Schizosaccharomyces pombe: one gene and its partners. Changing the gene in region 4 together with the main gene of any one other region gives a genetic interaction. Each region holds a gene or a part of one and is shown on either strand. Other genes may lie near its edges. The genes, in order: rsv2, vrp1, plb1 and ubp11.

What was found.
Region 1: mutations in ubp11 (region 4) and rsv2 together harm fitness more than expected from each alone (negative genetic interaction), as found in Schizosaccharomyces pombe (one large-scale study listed by BioGRID).
Region 2: mutations in ubp11 (region 4) and vrp1 together harm fitness less than expected from each alone (positive genetic interaction), as found in Schizosaccharomyces pombe (one large-scale study listed by BioGRID).
Region 3: mutations in ubp11 (region 4) and plb1 together harm fitness less than expected from each alone (positive genetic interaction), as found in Schizosaccharomyces pombe (one large-scale study listed by BioGRID).

What each region holds. Positions count from the first base shown.
Region 1 is NC_003423.3:3,531,218-3,535,798, forward strand, and holds rsv2 (DNA-binding transcription factor Rsv2), read left to right. Parts: upstream 1-1,710; 5' UTR 1,711-1,713; coding exon 1,714-3,627; 3' UTR 3,628-4,071; downstream 4,072-4,581. Other genes in the region: SPOM_SPBC1105.13C (uncharacterized protein), read right to left, coding at 543-971; 3-hydroxyacyl-ACP dehydratase Htd2, read right to left, coding at 4,186-4,581.
Region 2 is NC_003423.3:3,053,224-3,059,315, forward strand, and holds vrp1 (verprolin), read left to right. Parts: upstream 1-2,041; 5' UTR 2,042-2,251; coding exon 2,252-3,050; intron 3,051-3,102; coding exon 3,103-3,233; 3' UTR 3,234-3,536; coding exon of another isoform or gene 3,537-4,837; intron 4,838-4,852; 3' UTR 4,853-4,994; coding exon of another isoform or gene 4,995-5,107; 3' UTR 5,108-5,168; coding exon of another isoform or gene 5,169-5,233; 3' UTR 5,234-5,580; downstream 5,581-6,092. Other genes in the region: SPOM_SPBC13E7.07 (uncharacterized protein), read left to right, coding at 1-109; RNA polymerase II-associated Paf1 complex protein Leo1, read right to left, coding at 382-1,480, 1,671-1,861; transcription factor TFIIIB subunit Brf1, read right to left, coding at 3,537-4,837, 4,995-5,107, 5,169-5,233; rbd1 (rhomboid protease), read left to right, coding at 5,909-6,092.
Region 3 is NC_003424.3:1,073,790-1,078,559, reverse strand, and holds plb1 (lysophospholipase 1), read left to right. Parts: upstream 1-1,866; 5' UTR 1,867-1,941; coding exon 1,942-3,783; 3' UTR 3,784-4,229; downstream 4,230-4,770. Other genes in the region: SPOM_SPAC1A6.11 (uncharacterized protein), read right to left, coding at 4,706-4,770. UniProt on the Schizosaccharomyces pombe protein: Catalyzes the release of fatty acids from lysophospholipids. Required for survival under high osmolarity, for normal osmotic stress-induced gene expression, and for nutrient-mediated repression of sexual differentiation.
Region 4 is NC_003423.3:1,675,819-1,680,487, reverse strand, and holds ubp11 (ubiquitin hydrolase Ubp11), read left to right. Parts: upstream 1-1,883; 5' UTR 1,884-2,911; coding exon 2,912-3,964; 3' UTR 3,965-4,136; downstream 4,137-4,669. Other genes in the region: DNA-directed RNA polymerase subunit Rpc10, read right to left, coding at 4,509-4,624.

The DNA of each region.
Region 1 (4,581 bases), 1.9 Mb from region 4:
AAAAGTATACGTTTGTCAGTGCAATATTGAATGGTAAGTTTATTAATTGTTCCACTCATCGACTAAATAATAAAGTAGAAAGACGAGACATTTATGTGTATGCTAGAACACACTGGAATCCATTTGTTCACGAGTTGTTCTCGTAATAACATAATGATTGGTATTGCCGTGTGTGAATGCCAGTGATTATTGATGTTTGAAAGACTACAACTGATAAAAAGATAGTTGCACTAGTGATAAAAGTCTGTTGAAATTGGTATGCTCTAAAAGTCATTTGTACTTGAGTAAGCAGTCATATGCGTGTTGGCTATCCATCTGTTTGACTTGTTTGAAAATAATACACATGGGTTATGCTTTTCACAAGAAAGTAGAATAATTGATTCCTACATCTGCATCATCCATATCGATCGGTAAAGTATACTTTATCCTACGAATTGGTTTCATAGTTAAATCACTCCTCTGCTTAGCAGCTCCGCATCCCCTTCGTGTACTAGCCAATCTCATCGACATCGACAAATTGACTTCACCTGAGTTAAGCATACTTAATTCAACTTAACGAAGTGCAACCCACCACGACTGACCTCTGTAATCTCGGAAAACGGATAAGACGGTTCAGTACGTTCGCTAGTAAGAAGCATGCATGCAAAGGTACAAGAGCAGGCTTCCCATGCAAACTGAGAAAATAATCCCTGAAGAATTGCTAGTAAGCCAAATTGCAGCGCCTCCAAACATCCTTCTATTAAGGACCAGAAAGAATGATGCTGATGACTAATTTTTGGGTTATGCAAGAAGCATCTGGCATTTTCTTTAACTTCTCCACGAATAAGGAGAAGGTCACACGACGGAAGCGTGGAATAATGATGAGTTTGATCGTCGGTAAACTCCCCCAGAGTAGCGAAGATCATCGGCATCGAAAGAAAGAAGGGAAGGAAAAAAAAAAGTAAAAACGACTTGATGAATTCCGTGATCATGTAGGGTAACGGAAGACGAGATTACCGAGTTTAAGTAAGCAATCGAGGTCTGCATTGCGATGCCGATATGGTGATCGGGAACATGAAGCACTTGATTGACTTGAACATGTAGGGAGGAAATTTTTTTAGCGTTTTTAGACTTTTCATTTAGCTGCTATCTTAGGAGTAGCGTGACACGGCGCAAACGAAAAACAAGACATTTGTTGTACCAAACATCCTCAATTCCATCGCATCTCTAAAGTACGAGTAACTAGAGTAAGATGCAAATCAACGTCGTGATATGACCTAAAAGTATCGTGGACTTGATTCATCCTTCAATCTCATCTTTCCCCGACTCCGCCTCTTCATTTTGACCTCATTCTATGATTGCTTTTGGAATGAAGCTTGCAGCGTATTCCTTCATTAGTGCGTTATGACTAACCGCGATATATAAGGTGATTTAAGTACTGGAAGCTCGCTTTCCATATGAGAGGACAGCGTAGAGCGCAAGTCGCAGATTGAAGGAATGTAATTGGGGTTCGCTTACACATTACGCGCTTTTATTTGAAAAGAACGAATCAGCAGCACTGCCAGCGCATTCTGACATTTCCATGCTACTTCATTGGCGGCCTCTGATTGGCTCAATCAATGTAAAACGACGTCAATTGCTAACCAATGTTGTTTGACAAGGGTGGTTTTTTCAATCAGACGCTTGACGTCATTCTTTATATATACATTGCCTCGCGCATCTTTGCTGGGTAGTATGGACACTACAAACAACACATATGCAAGATCAATTTCTAGTAATGGGAACGATAACTTTCCCACTCCAGATTGGCAATTTAATGGATCCCAATTGCAACAAAATCGTAAATCCAAAATGAATGGTCGCTCTGTGACTAATGTATTTCCGAATGCATTCTCGGATGCTGAATTCGAGCAAATCTCGATGCCCGAACTCAATTTAAAGCGTTTTAACCCTACTACGTTAGAAGAAAATAACTCAGATTTATCTGATATGTCCTCCTGGGACTATATGATGAACGTTCCCATTCGTGTCTACAACGATGCTGACACAATGGACCCCTTCTCCCTCGACACTATTCCCGATTCCTCGATGGACATGCCATTTGATCCCTTAGCATCTGACTATGGTAACGCTGCTAACTTTCCAAGTGTCCCTTCGTCCCTTGGCAGCAATCATCAATTTATCACCACACCTCCTGTCAACGGGTCGAACGAACCTACCTCGGCTCAAACGAATCACATTATTACTGCTAACAGTTCCCCCAGTGGAAATGCTGGGAGTAACGCATCTGCAAGCATGTCCGTCCCTCCTCCTCTTACTCCATCTGCTTCCACCATTAATGACCAGCCCTTCTCCAACTCTTTCGATTTACCTAGTCAGGTGATTGCTGATGGCACTGGCGCGATTTCCGACATCAACGGTAATCCATTTCCCATGAATTCTCCACCTTTGGATATGGAACCGTTGCCCTCGATATCCATGGATGCAAGTGACTCTGTCTCCGAACAACTTGTAAAGGACGCCTCTCTTCCTAGTGGTCCTTTTTCAACCGATTATTTGGAGAATGGAAGTGACTTAAAAAGGTCACTGGGTCACAATCAAAAGTCAGACAGAGTCTCAAAAGATGTCTCACCTCAACACCAAGCAAATCCCTCTACCCTTAACAATCCTCTCAAGACCCAAAATTTTGATTCCTCTAAGAACCTTTATACCGACAACAAGGATTCCTCCCTTGTATCTCCAACGGGACTTCAATCCCGTATGGAACAAAATCCGGAAGTGCGGGCGCATCCTATGAAGGACTCGGCGACGAGCACTGCGTTACGCCGTTCTCATGCTCTGGGAGCTGCTGCTGACTCTCTTCTTCCTCAAGAAAACTCCGCTCAGATATATGATGGGAAGGATGTATCTATGGTCAATGATAACATGCACTCCGATGTTCGGCAGGACAGCTTCAATAAAGAATCTATTAAACAACGCATCCCTTCTTTGTCTCCTCCGATAACGCGATCATACAATGCCAAGCATCGCCCCTCCTTGGTGCTTGGTACGTCGGTAAATCCACATTCACTTTCTCCTTCACAGCCTCCTGTTGTCGTACCTTCAAATACTACGATCAGCTCCTCTCCTCCACTCACTTCTCCTGTTAAAACCTCTGCTAATATACCTAACTTATTACCGACTTCAGAGTTAGACAGTTCCAACGCTCCTCACTCTCAATCGGCTGCTACTCATGACCTAAATGACGTTAAGTCGTATTACAATACTAGGTCTTCTCATTCCGTGGTACCTAATCCAACCAACCAAAAAGTAAGCATCACCGGTGCTGCTGCTGATGGCCCCAACGGATCTGCTCCTGTTGACACCACTCCTACAAATTCTTCTACTACTGCTACGGGTGCTCAGAGGAAGCGTAGGAAGTTTAAATTTGGTAAACAAATTGGTCCAGTTCGGTGTACTCTTCAGAACAGAGTTACAGGAGAAATTTGTAACACAGTGTTTTCTAGGACGTATGATTTGATCCGTCACCAGGATACGATACATGCTAAGACACGACCTGTATTTCGATGTGAGATTTGTGGCGATCAACGCCATTTCAGTAGACATGATGCCTTGGTTAGGCATCTCCGTGTGAAACACGGTAGATAAATTGAAAGGAGTCTCTTCTGCCACAAATATTAAAAAAAGGTTATTGCATTATCTATTGTCATTTTTCACCTCTTACGCTTCTTCATTGATTCCTTGTTTATGAATTTTAAAAAAAGTTGCATTTTGCTAATTATTTTCAAGAAAAAAATTGGTACCGTTATTATTTCACAGCCCTTTTGAAAGTGCTTTTTCCTTTGTCTCCTTTCATGTACATTTATCATCTTAATTTTGCCTCTTCATTTCATCGTATCCTCAAGCTTCATGTGTAATTTCAAACCCCTTCTCCGTCTAACGGTTTCCTTTTTTATTTTGGACGGTCATAAGTGTTTTTATATTTTGTTTTCATTTTTATTGGGATTGGTTAATATTGTTTTTTTTTTCTTACCAAGTTACTGTTAAATGTTAATAAAAAATTTTGTGTGTTTTCACCTTAAATTGAATACCTATCATGTAATTTGATTTAGTTTTACATACTTAAATTTTAATATTAGTAAGTAGTATTTGTAATTTAGAAATATTTTTTCTGCCGGTATTAATTATTATTGTTTTTCAGTTATGTTAGGTATAGACGCGGCCTCTAGCAATCAAAGACGGTGGATCAAGGTCTGTAGTAAATCGATCAATCCATAGGTTACCTGTCTCTGAGATACATATGCGTAGTGGTTGATTGACAAACGCGGGAGATAATAATCGAAACTCAAATCTTTTCATGTTCTTTGACATTTGGGGATAAACAGAACGAAAGTACTCTAACATACTAGTCACTAGAAGAGGACCTGGAAGAACGAGATTTGGATAATTTTCGGACTTTGTAGCGTATGTCGCATTCCAATGGATCATATGAGCATTAAACATTAATGCTGAATAGCGAAACACCATAATAGGTGTAGGTGTGAATACCCAAGAGTGTTGTGGAATACTTTTGCTACGTAAAGTTTTTGGTATAGCCAGTTC
Region 2 (6,092 bases), 1.4 Mb from region 4:
AAATAGGCCTCGTGGAGGGCTAAACAATTCTAGCCGTTCTGCTTACTCTTATATTAACAACGGTCAAGCAGGCTCTTCCAAAGGTAACCGATATGATAGTTTGTGGTAGGAACTCATATCACGCTTTAATGATCACAGAAATACATCTCAACACCTAATCCGCCATATTTGCTTTAAAAAAAGTAGTTTTATTTTATATAGTTGCTCACTACAATTCTCGCTATTGTACATGTGAATCCCATTGCGTTAAAAATTAGACAAGATATAAGAATAATGTACAATTAATAAACATCTTTTAAATCAACGAAATAACACAGAGACCATACTTCGCAAACAAACAAATTGGCTATTTACAAAAATTGAATTACAAGCTGTTTGGATTTATTCGCTATCGCTCTCAACAATCCGACGCTTCACTCTTCTTTGTACAGAACCATCACCGACAGAAGTCTCTGTAACGGTCTCGGATCTGTCAGTTTCCACTGCGCTAGGAATTACCTCATCGTCTTCATATTTATTAATAGTAGCTCGTGCTACACTTGCTTCTTTATCCGCATCAAATCCTTTTATATCGGAGCCAGCTCCAACTTCTTCTTCATCCTCTTCATCTTCTTCTTGTTCCTCTTCTTGTTCCTCTTCCTCTTCCTCTTCCGCTATAAAGTCACCAAGGTCATCTTCTTCATTTTCTTCCAGATCCTTATTATAACCACGATATTGACCAGCTCCTTCTTGTTTAATTCGTTTTAAACGATCCATACGGTCACTGTCAATGATTTCATTTTGTTCGCTATAAGTAGAACGGGGACCGTAGAAGGAAGAGTAATCCTCTTCTTCTTCTCCTGTTCCATTCTGATAATTGTTCAATTGCTTTCTTTTCTCTAAACGTCGCCGAGCTCGACTTCGTTCCTCCTCATATTTTTCAGCCTGACGCTTTAGTAGTTCTGGATCCTTTTCAATAATAATTTCTTGTACGCTTCGACTAGGAACCTGGACTGTGGTGAGACGCATAGATGGCAATTTTGATCTTGTAGCAGTGTTAATGGCTGAAGGGAGGAATGTAAAACTGCTTTTGAAGGATGTTTGAACTCTCAGTAAATGTTGTGCTTCATGTGAGGCAGTAACAAAAGTTGGTTGAGATATTAATTTATTTTGGGTATCATATATGTCGTTACCAATGCGAAGTGAATATGAACCATCAGACCATTGTACAATTTGCGCATTCGATTGATAGCTTCCAGACGGCCCCAATCGCCAGCGGACAGTATTATCAACTTTATGTTTTATTCTTTGACCCCAATGCGCGTCGTGTTCTAATAAAGCTGCATCTGCTTCGGCTTCCGCGGCGTACTGCTCTGGATCGTACGGAGTCTGTTCCACAGAAAGGAAATTTGGAATATGAGCATGAAACACGTCATTACTAGCAGAAGCTGGTGATTTGAAATTGGGAACAGCGACTTCAAGGACTTTCTTTACAGGAACACTAACATTTGTTAGGATGCATAGATTTAAATAGCTTGCTATAGTAAAAGACGCTAATTTTTGATTTTTTACTAAAAAGCCTCATGAAGCGATTTATTACTTTCACCACTGTGGCAGCTGTATAATAAATACACATTTAGAACTACCATCGGCTAGAATCAATTCGCTTCATCTATAAGACTGCAACTTACTCTGCTTCAGGGGCTTCAGTAGCCTCTTCTGTATTCGAAAACAAGCCGTCATCGCTAACGGCTGTTTCACTATCGTTTTCTATATGGCCATTTATAAGTTCATCTTGCTGCGAAGTATGATTGTCTTCATTCTCACTAAACAAATCATCTTCCTCTTGACCGTTGCGGATGTCTTCTTTAGAATCCGACATTAAATCTATTTAAATTCCTCAAAAATTCACCAGTCTAAACTTTCCAGATTGGTTCCGGTCAGAATACGTATGGTGTTGTACTAAGATGCATTAAATTGAATAATCACTAGAAGGTACAATCCTGTTACTTGTAGTGCATGGTGGTGGTAGAAAGCTTAGGGTAGCTCATAGTTAAAACCCATACCCGTGTTTCCACTTTATATTTTGAGTTATATTTATTATTGTCAAAGTATATAGCGAATATTTTTTGTAAAATCATTTAAAATCTGATAATTTAACTTTTACTTTTATTGTATTGTTAGGTGTACAGGCGAATTATCTACTATTTTGATTACAGACCTCAAGCTTGTTAAGATTTATTTTTGATTTTTAATTCTTCCTTCTTATAAAATGGCACCTGCACCACCGCCTCCTCCTCCAGCACCAGCGCCTGCTGCTGCTGCTCCGGCCCCCCCTCTAATGACCGGAGATCGATCAGCTCTGCTCAATTCTATCCAGAAAGGAAAGAAACTAAAAAAAGCTACAACGAACGACCGATCGGCTCCCGTTGTCGGAGGAGGTGTCGTAGGCGAACGTAAATCTAACACTCCAAAAAGCTTTGCTGCTCCTCCTGTACCCACAGGCGCACCCTCTTTACCGACTTCTTCAAATAATACTCAGCAAGCAGAAGAGAGACCTTCCATGCCTGCATTAGGAGGTTTATTTGCTGGCGGCATGCCTAAGCTTCGTCATATTGGAAAGTCAAGTGCTTCAGCCGCACCACCTTCCGCTCCTGCTCCTCCTACTCCACAATCTGAGTTGCGTCCGCCAACAAGTGCGCCCCCTCGACCTTCAATTCCTCCACCATCTCCTGCATCTGCTCCACCTATTCCTTCAAAGGCACCTCCTATTCCATCGTCTCTACCTCCACCTGCACAACCTGCTGCACCGGTGAAATCTCCTCCTTCAGCTCCTTCATTGCCCTCAGCGGTACCTCCGATGCCACCTAAAGTTCCTCCACCTCCTCTATCTCAAGCTCCTGTTGCTAATACATCATCACGCCCTTCTTCTTTTGCTCCACCAGCAGGACATGCACCTAACGTTACATCAGAATCTCCTAAATTTCCTAATAGAGGTCCATCCATTCCTTCAGCTTCTGTTCCTCCAGTTCCTCCATCTTCTTACGTCTTGCAGCAGCGACCTAATCGTGGTAAGTTTGCGATCATTAAAAGCATTATTTTTTTATTAACACAAAACTCTAGTTGATGATCATGGAAGATTCCACTTTAAGGATGATAGTTACTTACCAATTCCTCATCCCTTTCTTGGAGTCCCTAAAGTTTATCGGGGTGGTAGTGGCACTACGGTCCCTTTGAATCTCTCTTCATTTTAACAAATCTTTTTAAAGCTGTGTACGATTAATCTACTACCAGTGTTTAGTTGTTAAACACAGAATTTTCTTTCGTTAGATGGATACTAATAATTACTCAGTGATAGAAAAAAACTAAAAATTCATGCGGCCTTTTTTATGAATATTAAAATTATTTATAAAGATTCATTAATCCTTATAAATAAATCGTTAAATAAACTCTAAAATTAATAAATTAATGTATAAAAAAGGATTATCGTACAACAAAAAAACGAATGTTCTTAAATAGCCCCAAAAAACTCCCAATTGCCCAAATTTAGTAAAAAGTTACGACTGCTCTTCGTCAAATAACATATCCAAAGCTTCATAGTTGATTTTTTTTGAAAAAGCTCTTTGTTGCATCATTTCTTTTGCACTTTCAGCAGCAGTATCGGCTATTCCATCACTAGTGCTATCTCTAGGACGATATCGTCTTCTTTTACGAGGTTGTCGGACAATTCCTTTTTTTAAATCTTCTTGGAGTTTTAAATTTTTCGCCTCTTCCTCAGCTAAATAATCTTTATTCAACTCCATCCAAACTTGAGTTTTAGTCAATATTTCATCCTTGTCAAGCAAAATATCTTCAATTTCATCATCATCAACGTCTTCTAAGGTAACTTCTTCCTCCGAAAATTTAACGTTAACTTGTAGAGAAATCTTTCTAAGTTCATCGCCCTTAAGGGTTTCAGTAACCTCTTTCCTAATTTCTCTTTCATCGGCCTTCAAATGCACAGGAGTTTCTTGAGATTCAACTTTTACTGTTTGCGAAAGCTCTTCAGACTTAACTTCGTTGCCATCAAAATCCGGGGTCCTTTTAATAGGGGACATGTATTCTTGTGTGTGATCAATGTTTGAAACTTTTTGAGCACCGTATTGTTGAAACTTTTGATTTTTAGTAAAGCTAGGAGGATCGCTCTGTCCTTCCAGCCAAATGTTTCGAAAGTCGGCGATTGAAAGATCACCGCTCTCAGTTAATTTAAACTCATCAAGGCGTTTTTGAATAGTGATATCCGCAACTTTCACGACATGAACCACTTCTCGTACGCTTCGTCGAAAATTATTCATTCTTGCTGCAATGAGTAAGCATGCACCACAAATTCCAGCTGGCCGACGACCAATTTGCATCCAGTCTCTATTCATTCGCGCTACCAATCTGATAGCGTCGTTTGCGACACGATGTGTTTCCGGTCCAAATTCGAGTAAAGAAGCAAATCTACTGATATATAAAGACGGATCTAAAAGAGGTAAATTAGGCCTTAAAACGCGGCACAACTTGAGAAAAGTAGACCCAAGCTTAAAAACGTTAATTTGCAAAATATCAGAAAAATCGATTAACATATGAGACGTCTTAGATATCCGGCAAACAATATACAAACAGGATGCAACAACGTATTGCGATCTCCTTCCTTTTATAAAGTTGTTGTTAATTGCCAGTGTAAAGTAGCGAACTGCTGCTTCGATATGGCGTTCGTTAAGTTTTAAAGCAATTGCCAATGCCGAAATTCGGCGACGTCCGTTTGCAATGGTAAGTTCTCTGGATTCTACGGATCCTTGATTTCTGTAAGGGCCACCAAAAGTCCGAGCATGAGCTAAAGCTGTGTTAGATATAAGTCGATGAAAAATATGGACGAAGAGGTGTCTATTAGTAAAAGATCAAACCAAAATTTAACACAGACTGAACAAAAAAAGGTGACTGCATCAGAACTGTAAAACACCGCATTGCTGGATGATTGCCTTCTAACTTACTTTGATCATTACTCACAAGAGAACCCTGAACAACAGCTGCACCAGTTGAAGCCTCTCCGAATGTCACTTCCGAAACAATTGCATCTTGCTCGACGACAACACCGCATTGTGTACTATTCAATGGTTAGCAGTCAATTGCCACGTTAAAATTATATAATAAAAAAAACAACTTACCAATATGTATTTCCAGAAGCGGTATCAGATTCAAAAGTAGTTGAACCGCAATTTGGACATCCCATGGCGAATAACTGAAAACACTTGGGCGTTAGCTGTTTGGGAAATGGTATTTATCAAAGATTAAGTTTAACCCACATGGAGTACTTAAGTGGGGGGGGGGGAAAGAAATATCACTGCAAATATGCATACTAGCATATATTTTAAAGGTCTACAGAGAATTTAATCGGGTTTAATTGTTTGTTATTTTATTTTGTTTTTTTGTTCTTTTTTAATGGTTTGGAAATGAAGAGCGTTAAAATAAAATTAAAAATAGTAAATTGAACTTTGCTTCTGTATATGGTATTTGGACTTTTTAGTTTAATATATATTATAACAATTTTTACTAGTAAATTCTCTAGTTTATCTCGAGCATTGCAAGTTTAGCAAATGATTAATGAATCGTGACTATATGGTTCATTAAATCTTTTTATGTTAATTAACTTGTTAAAAACATTGTTTGGCATATATATTTATATAAGATTATGCAAGTAACGTAATTAGGAGAATAAAAAGTAAGACAGAATATATAAAGAAATAACTTAAATTGCTTGAAGTTAAATAAATATTGGTAAAGATCTTAAGGTACTGTGAGAAGCGTAAGCGGATTCTTATTTCTCTATCTTAGGCAACACTAGCGTTTCTATGCATACAACCTCATAGTCCTTACTCACCTTTTCTCACATATATTTAATACGCAGATGAATCGTTTGAATTTTCAAAGTTTACTCTGGAAATTTGGACAAAAAAGGTTTTATTACAGACCATGGATCAGAATTGAAAATATTAAACCAACACCATTATGGAAACCGATTACATTTGCTGTTGGTGTTGGTTCTGCCACCTTTTATACGGCCAATTATCTCGATAAAAGAAGAAAAAACT
Region 3 (4,770 bases), on a different chromosome or scaffold from region 4:
CTCCACGTCATGGAGGGAAAGGTAACTTGGAAGGTTAGCCCCACACTTTCCTTAACCCCATTATCTCCATTTTTCAATGATGTCAACGTAAAAGGTGGAAGCTCGCTTGTTCCGAATGACGGCGAATAGAAACGTAGAATTTTTCAAACCGTAATTTGATTGGCGGAAGGTTTGGTTTTCATGAATGTTCTCCACACTATGGGAAAACGAGGGGAGCAAAGTGAACAAAATACTGAGAGGTGATTGGATATGTCCCACTTTTTCATGTGATGCTCCTCATTTAACTAATAATTGGTGCGAAAATTTTCTTGCTCTTGCGGTAGACATTTTTGCACTGCGCATGTGTTCCTCCATTGTTCTAGACTGCGTTCCTCTACACCACCCCGCATTTGTTCGTCCGACTTTAGGCTCTTTTCCTTCTTCCCCGCCAAACTTTTGAGCGGATACTTGCCTGATTTCTTACCGGAATGGTGAGGGGCGAACACCTTTAGAATAGTGTTTCAAACACTTTTTTTTGGGTTTTGGCGGGGTTAAACTGACGAACAACGAAGAAAAAACAAGAATTCTAACAATTTACAACAGAATCCGTAAAAAAATTAGAAGCTTGTCTGACCAGCGGTAGTATAGAAGGGTTTAAACGGTGAGTAGAGTGTTTGTATTTTTCCCCAGTGTACCTTTTGCCAGTAGACAAACATCCCATCCTTTCTTGTGGGCAGCGTTATTTTGATGATAACTCTATCCCACTATTACTCCAGTTGCTTGGATACATCGTCGCAGCTCTGGACCAATGTTGCAGTTGCTTCCTAATTTTTAGAGGGTCAGTTGCCGGTACTCACGGGGCCCCAGACATGGATTCTGTCAAGATTGTGGGGTAGATGCAAGTTGAAGTCAAAAAAATGAGAATCAAAAACTTGAAAATAAAATACATAAAATGATTTATTTTATTTTTCTTTGTATAATCCATGTAAAATTATAGACTGTATGCACTGAAACCTTGTTCCGAGCGACTGGTCCCAGGTATATAAGTGGTGCTGGTGCACAGGCATTTTCACCACCATCGCAATCAAACAACTTTCCTTGATCTGTTCATTGTTTCAAAACAAAAAATTCCGTTTTTTGGAATCCCTAATCATCTTCCTTACTTTTATTTAAATCTTAATCCATCCAAGCGAGGAATTTTGCATTTTCCTTTCTTGTGATTGCTCCCTTTTTCTTAGCTCTTTGAAAAATACCCCAAAAAAGAAAACACTAACACTCTTTCGGTTAGAGAGCGTTTTCGCATTAGTTGAATCCAAAAACATATTTTACGATCCAACACTGTGATTTGGCTTAATTTCTTTTTTCAGTGATTCCCTCATTCCTTCATCATAATTTCTCGTATCATCATCACACTTTTCTTTCCTAGTGTATCCTTTGGTGCGATTTCCGGTTTTCTCGTCGTTATTCCTTTTTAATTTTCTCTTTCTTATTACTCACTCAAACAAAAAAAGGTCGTCGTGGACTTTTTAAATCGTTGTACTTTTAGCACTTTCCTACATCTTCCTTTTGAATATTTATTATTTATCCTTTAGGGAAAAGATTTTATTCATTTTGAACCTTTGCATTAAACTTCGTTTGCCAGGTTCTTTCATTTTGTTTTTAGTCCCGTTTTCCTGCCTTCTTTAGTTCTATCTATTGTGGGGTTTGTGTTTTCGTCCACTATTTGCAAATTCTAGGTTTTTGTTACTTTACCACTTTTTCCTCTCCGACTTACGGAATAGTATCAGTCCGAGATCTTGATTGGGTGTCATTCGGAAAGTAATACACTCGTGTGACGTTTATTAAATTTTTTTTCTTATATACCCTTTCCGTCCCACTCCCAACTTTGAACGTTCATTTGGGGATTTAATTTGCATACATCTTTGCATATCTATTCTCAACATTTTAGTTTAAATATTCAAAATGCTTTTCCGCGGATTAAGCCTGTGGATGCTCTTTTTGGCATCCTGCCTTTCTGCCCTTGCTCTTCCCGCTGCTGAAGACGATGGTTCTGTCAAGGTCTTCAAGCGTGCCAAGAAGCATAGCACTAAGCAAGAGGGACCCAGTTACGCTCCTTATTATGTGGACTGTCCCTCTGATAACATTGTCGAGAGTCTCTCCAGCAATGAGATTCCTAGCGCCGAGTCTGAATACTTGAGCACTCGTTCTACTATTACCAACACTGCCATGAAGGACTTCCTTCGTAACGCCAACTTGCCTGGTTTGAATGCCGATACTCTTTCTGGCTCTGAAGGTCCTTCTATCGGTATTGCCTTGTCCGGTGGTGGTTTACGTGCCATGATTTTGGGTTCTGGTGCCCTCTCTGCCATGGATGCTCGTCACGACAACCACACTGTTTTGACTGGTCTCCTTCAAGCCTCTGACTATCTCGTTGGTACTGATGGTAGTGCCTGGACTGTTGGTGGCATTGCTCTCAACAATTTCAGTACCATTAACGACTTTAGCAAACTTTGGGCTTTCAACCACCCTTTGATGTATCCCAAGAGTGCTATTGTTTTCAACGCTCATTTCTACAGTTCTATTATGAATGAAGTTGCCGAAAAGGCCAATGCTGGCTTTAACATCAGTCTTTCCGATTACTGGGGACGTGTGATTTCTCGTACCCTTGGTGACACTACTTATGGTTTCCCTAATGTCTCTTTGTCTAGTATTACTTCCCAAGAATGGTACCGCAATGCCAACTTCCCTTACCCCATCATTACCTTTGCTACCCAAAACTATGGTGAGGATATTAGCAATGTTAACACTACTTTCTTTGAAGCTTCCCCCAACGTTTTCGGTACCTTTGACCATGGAATCAACTCCTTTATTCCTACCGAATACTTGGGTACTACCTTAAACAATGGTGCTAGCAGCAATGGTTCTTGCGTTATCAACTATGACAACTTTGGTTTCATGATGGGTGCTTCTTCTACTTACTTCAACAAGATAATGCGTAACTTCAATGACTCTTCTACCAAGAACGGTCGTATCATCCAACAATACTTGAAAGGTAACTTTTCTGAAAACGGTCAACAAATCATCTCCATTCCCAACCCCTTCCAAGGTGTTGAGAGTGCTAATTCTGATGCTGCCAACAACTTGGGTTCCAGCTCTTCCCTTAACTTAGTTGATACCTTCCTTACTGGTGAGAAGATTCCTTTGTGGCCTTTGTTGCAAAAGGGTCGTGATGTCGATGTTATCGTTGCCGTTGACAATGGTGATGACAGTGAATGGCTCTGGCCCAACGGTAACTCTCTTGTCCAAACTTATGAGCGTGTCGTTGCTGCCCAAGCTGCCGGAAACACCAATGTTAAGGGTTTCCCCTACGTTCCTAGCCAACAATCCTTTGTCAGTCTTCACTTCAACGATCGCCCTGTCTTCTTTGGTTGTGATGGTCGTAACACCACTGCTGGTAACCACACTGTTACCCGTGACACTCCTCCTTTGGTTATCTATCTTCCCAACGTTCCTTACAACTACTTCACTAACATTTCCACTGATCGCACCTACTACACTGAAGACATGATTCAACAACTTCTTACCAACGGCCTTATTTCCTCTACCGTTGACAATGACACCTACTTTGGTCAATGTTTTGCCTGTGCCGTTGTTAAGCGTACTTTGGAGCGTAACAACATCACTGCTAGCCCCGAGTGCCAACAATGCTACTATAACTACTGCTGGAGCGGTCTTTATGATGACAGCGCTGCTAATGATGATATTGTCTACAATCCTACTTGCCGTCTTGGTGAAGGCATTTAAGGAAAGGCGCATGCAAACTTTTCTCTCTTCAGTATTTATACGACATATCTGTTGCTCACAAGCAAAAGATAGAGGGCAATGCTTATGCCTGGAAAAAAGTTTTTAAAAAAAATCTATACAATGTCTGCTGTCTTAGCATAAATCAAACCTAGCCATATATGTGAATCAATCCAATTACGCGATATGGGTTTTTGTTAACGGATTATTAAACTGAACGTTCACTCCGCTCTAATTAGGGAGACTATTTTGTTATCTTCCGAAAGTATTTTATTCTAATTTACCCTCTCTTCGGAATGTTTTTTGTTCATTTTCTATTGTGAGCTTTCGTTTGCTGTAATTCAGTTTTGTTGACGGCTCCAAATTGGACGTGTTCTAGTTGTTTATGAGAGTTGCTGTTATATATAGTTGCGAAAATAAGTCATTTTTTTAATTCTTGGTTGTAATAAGAATGTTGTTTGTCTATATAAATAAGTTGACTGTAATTTTTTTGTTTTGTTTGATTCAAAAAATTATTATTTATATGTATATATTTTGTATGATAAAATTTGATTTTTAAAGGTTTGCTATACTTGAACAAGGAATAGTGAACTTTAACATACAGCCTATAATTCATTAATTAGGATGAGGAAGGAGATGTAGAAATGAAAAAATTTAGTTAACGTAAAACAGATTATACGATCATTTACAAATTATATCAACTGTACGCAATTTAATCAATGAAGTAGTGGGGATGTAGATGAGACAGTATAGAATACATCACAACGAGTAATGGGAGAAAAAAATTGTAGTAGTTGCGCGGGTTTTGCTCGGCCTCGGGCTTTACTTTCTAATCCGATGACTGTGAGTTACGTGTTTTGCAAAATTATTTAGCAAGTGTGCATTTTATGCTTTAAGTCTAAACGAAATGGGATCCGAGTTAACTTTAAGTTGAGGCTTTGCTTTTGATATAGGTATGCGCATGCGATTTACAAAAATCTAATCGAACAG
Region 4 (4,669 bases):
GAAAAGCAAAAAGATGAAGAATGGAAAAAAAGAAAACAAAAATTAGAAATGCAAAACAAAAAAATAAAGTAAAGCAAGGCAACGCAAGCCAAAGACAGAAAAGCAGAAAAGGTAAGGAAGTCGATCAATTTGTAAATGGCGCATTCATCAATATACCAAGTTGTCAGATTAGCAAATGTCAATGTACGGTACGATGGTAGCGGCGATCGCAGGGTAGACAGCGAGATAGCTGATAAAGAAGGGAATAAGTGGGGATATAGAAGGGGAGTGGAAAGAAAGGAAAGGAGGTGCGAAAAGGAGTTGTAAAGTAGGTTTGAAGGATATGAAAAGTTGGACTTCAAAAAAAAAAATTTGTTGATTAATTTTTACCACATCTTTCCATTGATGTCTTTGGGATGTACTTGCGGATAGACGAGAATAGATTTTAACAATTAAGAGATAGGCGAGAGTTGACGAAAACATAAGACGAAATTTTACAATTGACAATCAAGGAGAATACAATCGACACTAGAAATCGACAATCGACAATCGACAATTAACGTTTGACAATCAACGTCCGACGATTGAACAATTTCATTTCTACTAATCAACCCAATTTCTCTTTGTCTTTTCTTTTTTCTCCTATTTCCTATTTCCTATCTCTGTTTTACTTTTCTTTTTTTCTATCATTTGTCTTTCTTTCTTTCTTATGGATCTCCTTCATGCGACGAGACCATGACTTTGGCATGAGTTCTACTTTGCTTTGCTCACGCAACTCTCACATATCACATATCCTCACTCATGCGCTTCTTATTTTCCAGACCTCCATGTGTTCTTCGCATGCGCACCTTTCTTTGTTTACACTCGGCGTGCACAAGTCTTTCTCTACCTATGAGCTTTGCTATTCTCATCCTTCTTTTACCCTTACGATTCTTGACCTTTCTTATTAACGGTCGAGCCTCCGAACTCCTAACCACTACATCAACCATAGGCTACGCTTTTCATAAGCAACTTGACTGCTTGGAGCCCGGGTTTTCCTTACTGACCCCGCAATTCCACTACTGTATTGGATTGGCGGATGCTTTTTTTTTATTCAGCCAATGAAATGAATCAATTGCATCTGATTTGCAATTTACGCAATATAAACTGTCCATTCACATCAACTAACCAATCATACAACTGACATTTGCCGTGTCTGATATCGCTTCAACGTGTTCTTGGGTGACGTAAATTTTTCTCGAATGTAAACAATGCGACAAGCCCTTTTGTTTCTTTTCTTTGTCTGCAATCCCGTCCATATATACAGTCAGAGGCAACACCTAACATACTGACGGCAGACATCAAACACCGATGATGGATGGAGAAAAGAGATAACTTTTTGCTATGCTTCGTTGAATATATGCTTCATCAACTGCCCATCCTTTGCTAGTTTTTTTTTGCATTGGCAAATGAATTTATTATGGTTAATCATTCAAAAGTAAAATTCAAAAGTTATTGACATTACAAAAAGAATGTACCGCTTGTTCTCTTGTCATACCTTCAACGTCTTCCTTTTGTTCCTTCTCCCTTCTCCTTCCTTCTCTTTCCCTCTCCTTACTCTTCCTTCTTTCTCCTTCTTCCTCCCTATTCTTCCTCCACTTCACCTTCTTTCCTACTCGTCCTCCTTGTCCTCCCTCTCTTCTCCCTAACAAATCATGTTGCATCTCCCTAACTGGTATGCGGAGGGCTGCACAAATAAAACTTCATTCTTTTCCTTCTTCCACCAATCGTCGCTTTTACGCATCATTGCAACCCCTTGGGCTTGCCGGCAAATACAAACGTCGCTGCCAATGCAAAAAACCTTTTTTTCGTCTCATCAGGCGCATATTTATGCTGAGGGTTTGGCCCTCCTGTCCCTCTCTTCCAACCTGCTTTTTTTCTCTAAAGGTTGCTCTTTTATACACATATCTGATTGCAAATTATTTGCTTTGTGTCGTACTTGTGAATGAGTGAGCTTTCTCTGCAAAAACTTTAATACCTTTACTTTTATCTTAATTTCTCCATCAAAAAACAATCCATACCGACAAATCGGCACTGCCTCCCCATCGTCTAATCTTACCTTACAAAAAATCCTTCACACATAATCAAGTGAAAAAAATCTCCCATCTTTTTTGGATCCCTTTTTTTTTCTTCTTCGAAAAAACTTTTGTCTGTTTCTTATAGACGCCTCTTGCCTTTTTTCTTGTTCTTGATTCCATCGTAATTTATTCTCTTTGATAGGATCGCTATACTTTTTTTTTCTCTTTTCTTATTTTTTTTTTTTTAAATTGTGCTATTTCATTTCTCTACAATTACTTCCTAACGTTTTTTAATTTCTTTTTCTTTTTTATCCTTTCATATCTTATCGCCTATTTCATCTATTGCGATCGCTAAAATTGCAAAGGTAAAATCATTCTACCACTTTCAACTTTATCTATTTATTTATTGACTCCCTCCTCCCAAAAAGTAATATTTGTGTCTTTTGTCGCATTACTCGACAACATTCTAATTGCTGACACTTTTTTTGACAACTGTTTTTTTTTTTAAATTTGCCTTTGTAAAACTTTCAAACTTTTACTCATCCTATCACTGATTATTTCCTAAAAAGGTTGTTTTATGCTCAAAAAGTTTGGTTCTTATTACCTCGTCTCCCTAACTATACCTATATTGTACGTTATTATCGTGTCCTTTACCTCACCGCCATTGGACTCGTGTTATCGTTTATACCAATAAAGCTAGTAACAACAACCTAGTGGATATATGCTGTGACTTAACGCTCGTCTTCTATTCTTATTTCCCTTGCCAAAAAAAATTTGTTTTTATGCATAAATTTTTTTTTTCTTTTGTAAATTATATTCTCTGTTACCTCTAATAATTTCTTTTCCCTAATTCTTCATTGCATGCATTCATTATCATGTCTACAACGCCATTGTCCATTTCTAGGGCAAAAAAATACAAAACAGTTTTCAAGGGTGCCGCCATTTTAACTACGTTTGCTGCCCTTTACATCGTTACCTCTCCTTCCACTGGCAAGAGGTTGGTGAAAAACGCCTCCATCAAAGGCCTTTACAATGTTTCGGGTAACGATTGTTTCCTCAATTGTGTTTTGCAATCCCTAGCAAGTCAAGAATCATTATTGGAAATCCTAAAACTCCGTTGTTCTTCCTCTACCTTATACGCTACCCTTTATGAACTTCTGCAAAAATTAAATAGTGGCCCCGGTAATCCAATCACTCCCGGTTCCTTCCTCAATTCATTAGAGATTGCCACTAATAAAAAACTTGTTCGTTCCATTCAACAAGATGCACAAGAGTTTCTACAACATCTAGTGGAAACTTTGGAACTTCAAAAACCTCACACTTACAAATGGTCGAAGGTACTCTCCTTTCCTGTAGATTCGCCATTCATAGGAACTATGGAGCAAAAGGTACAATGTTGTCAATGCCTTGCCATTAGTATTAGTTATTCTACTGCCACATCGATACAGCTTTGTCTACCTCCGGAGTACAGTGGAAATTCTAACGTTTCCTTGCTCTCTTTAATGGAAGCCGATCGCGAACAGCACATCTCTGACTATAAATGTGACTCTTGCTTCAAATCCTCCCCAAAACATTCCAAAACTTCATGCATTCGTACCGTTGATTGGAAAAATCCTCCTACGATTTTGCAAATTCAACTTGAGAGAACATCATATACCTGCCAAGGTTTAACCAGAAATAATGTTTCTATCTCATTTCCTAGCAAACTTATCCTAAAAAACAAACATCATTATATTTTACGATCCTTAATCACCCATTCCGGAAGTGTTACTTATGGTCATTATCTTTGCTATAGACTTCAAGATGACATTTGGTGGAAGGCTAATGATTCTTTAATTACTAAATCATCTCTCAATGAAGCTCTCAGTCAAACTCGTTCAGCTTGTCTTTTGTTTTACGAAATGGAATCTCCTCTTGCGCTTGATTAGCGCATATATGCTAGTTAATCGTATACGTTTTTGTACCTTAATAAAAAATTCTTGATATTTCTCCTAATGATTCCGACTGATGTCACCCTTTATAAACTGTTGAAAGCTTCAAATTATAACCTGTTGTTTTGTAGCTAAAGCATTCAATACTAATATTTTGCAAAACTTGTGTATGAAAATATATGTATGTATGTATCCACCGTATCTGTCCATAAAATCGGTTTTCTTGACTTTAAGATTTTCAAGTGGACGATTTTTTATAGGCATGGTTAAAGTACACATGGCACTTTCAAACCGTCGCCAAATGACTTATAATTTACTAAAAAAAATTTTAGATATACTCATCATGTACAATTCACAGTTTTTAATGCATCAAATATCCAAAATGTTATTATTGTCATGGGTTATCCATTTAACCCCAGGACCTTCTAATTTCTCGAATTAAGCATAAGGACCTGCATATTACACCATTTTTAAGCCATTTCTCAAATTTTAAAAGTTATAATTCCGTTTTTCTCTTTTCATAGTCTGAAAACTCTAAAACTTAGCGTGCTTCGAACTGAACCATTCTCTTGGTTCTCATTTTGTACATAACACGATGCCCACACTCTCGACAACGAATAACTTCTTTCGCTTGGATTGTATTACGCGCTCCGCAATCTGATGGTCAGTCTTTTATCATATACTCATTTAATTCTACTCAAT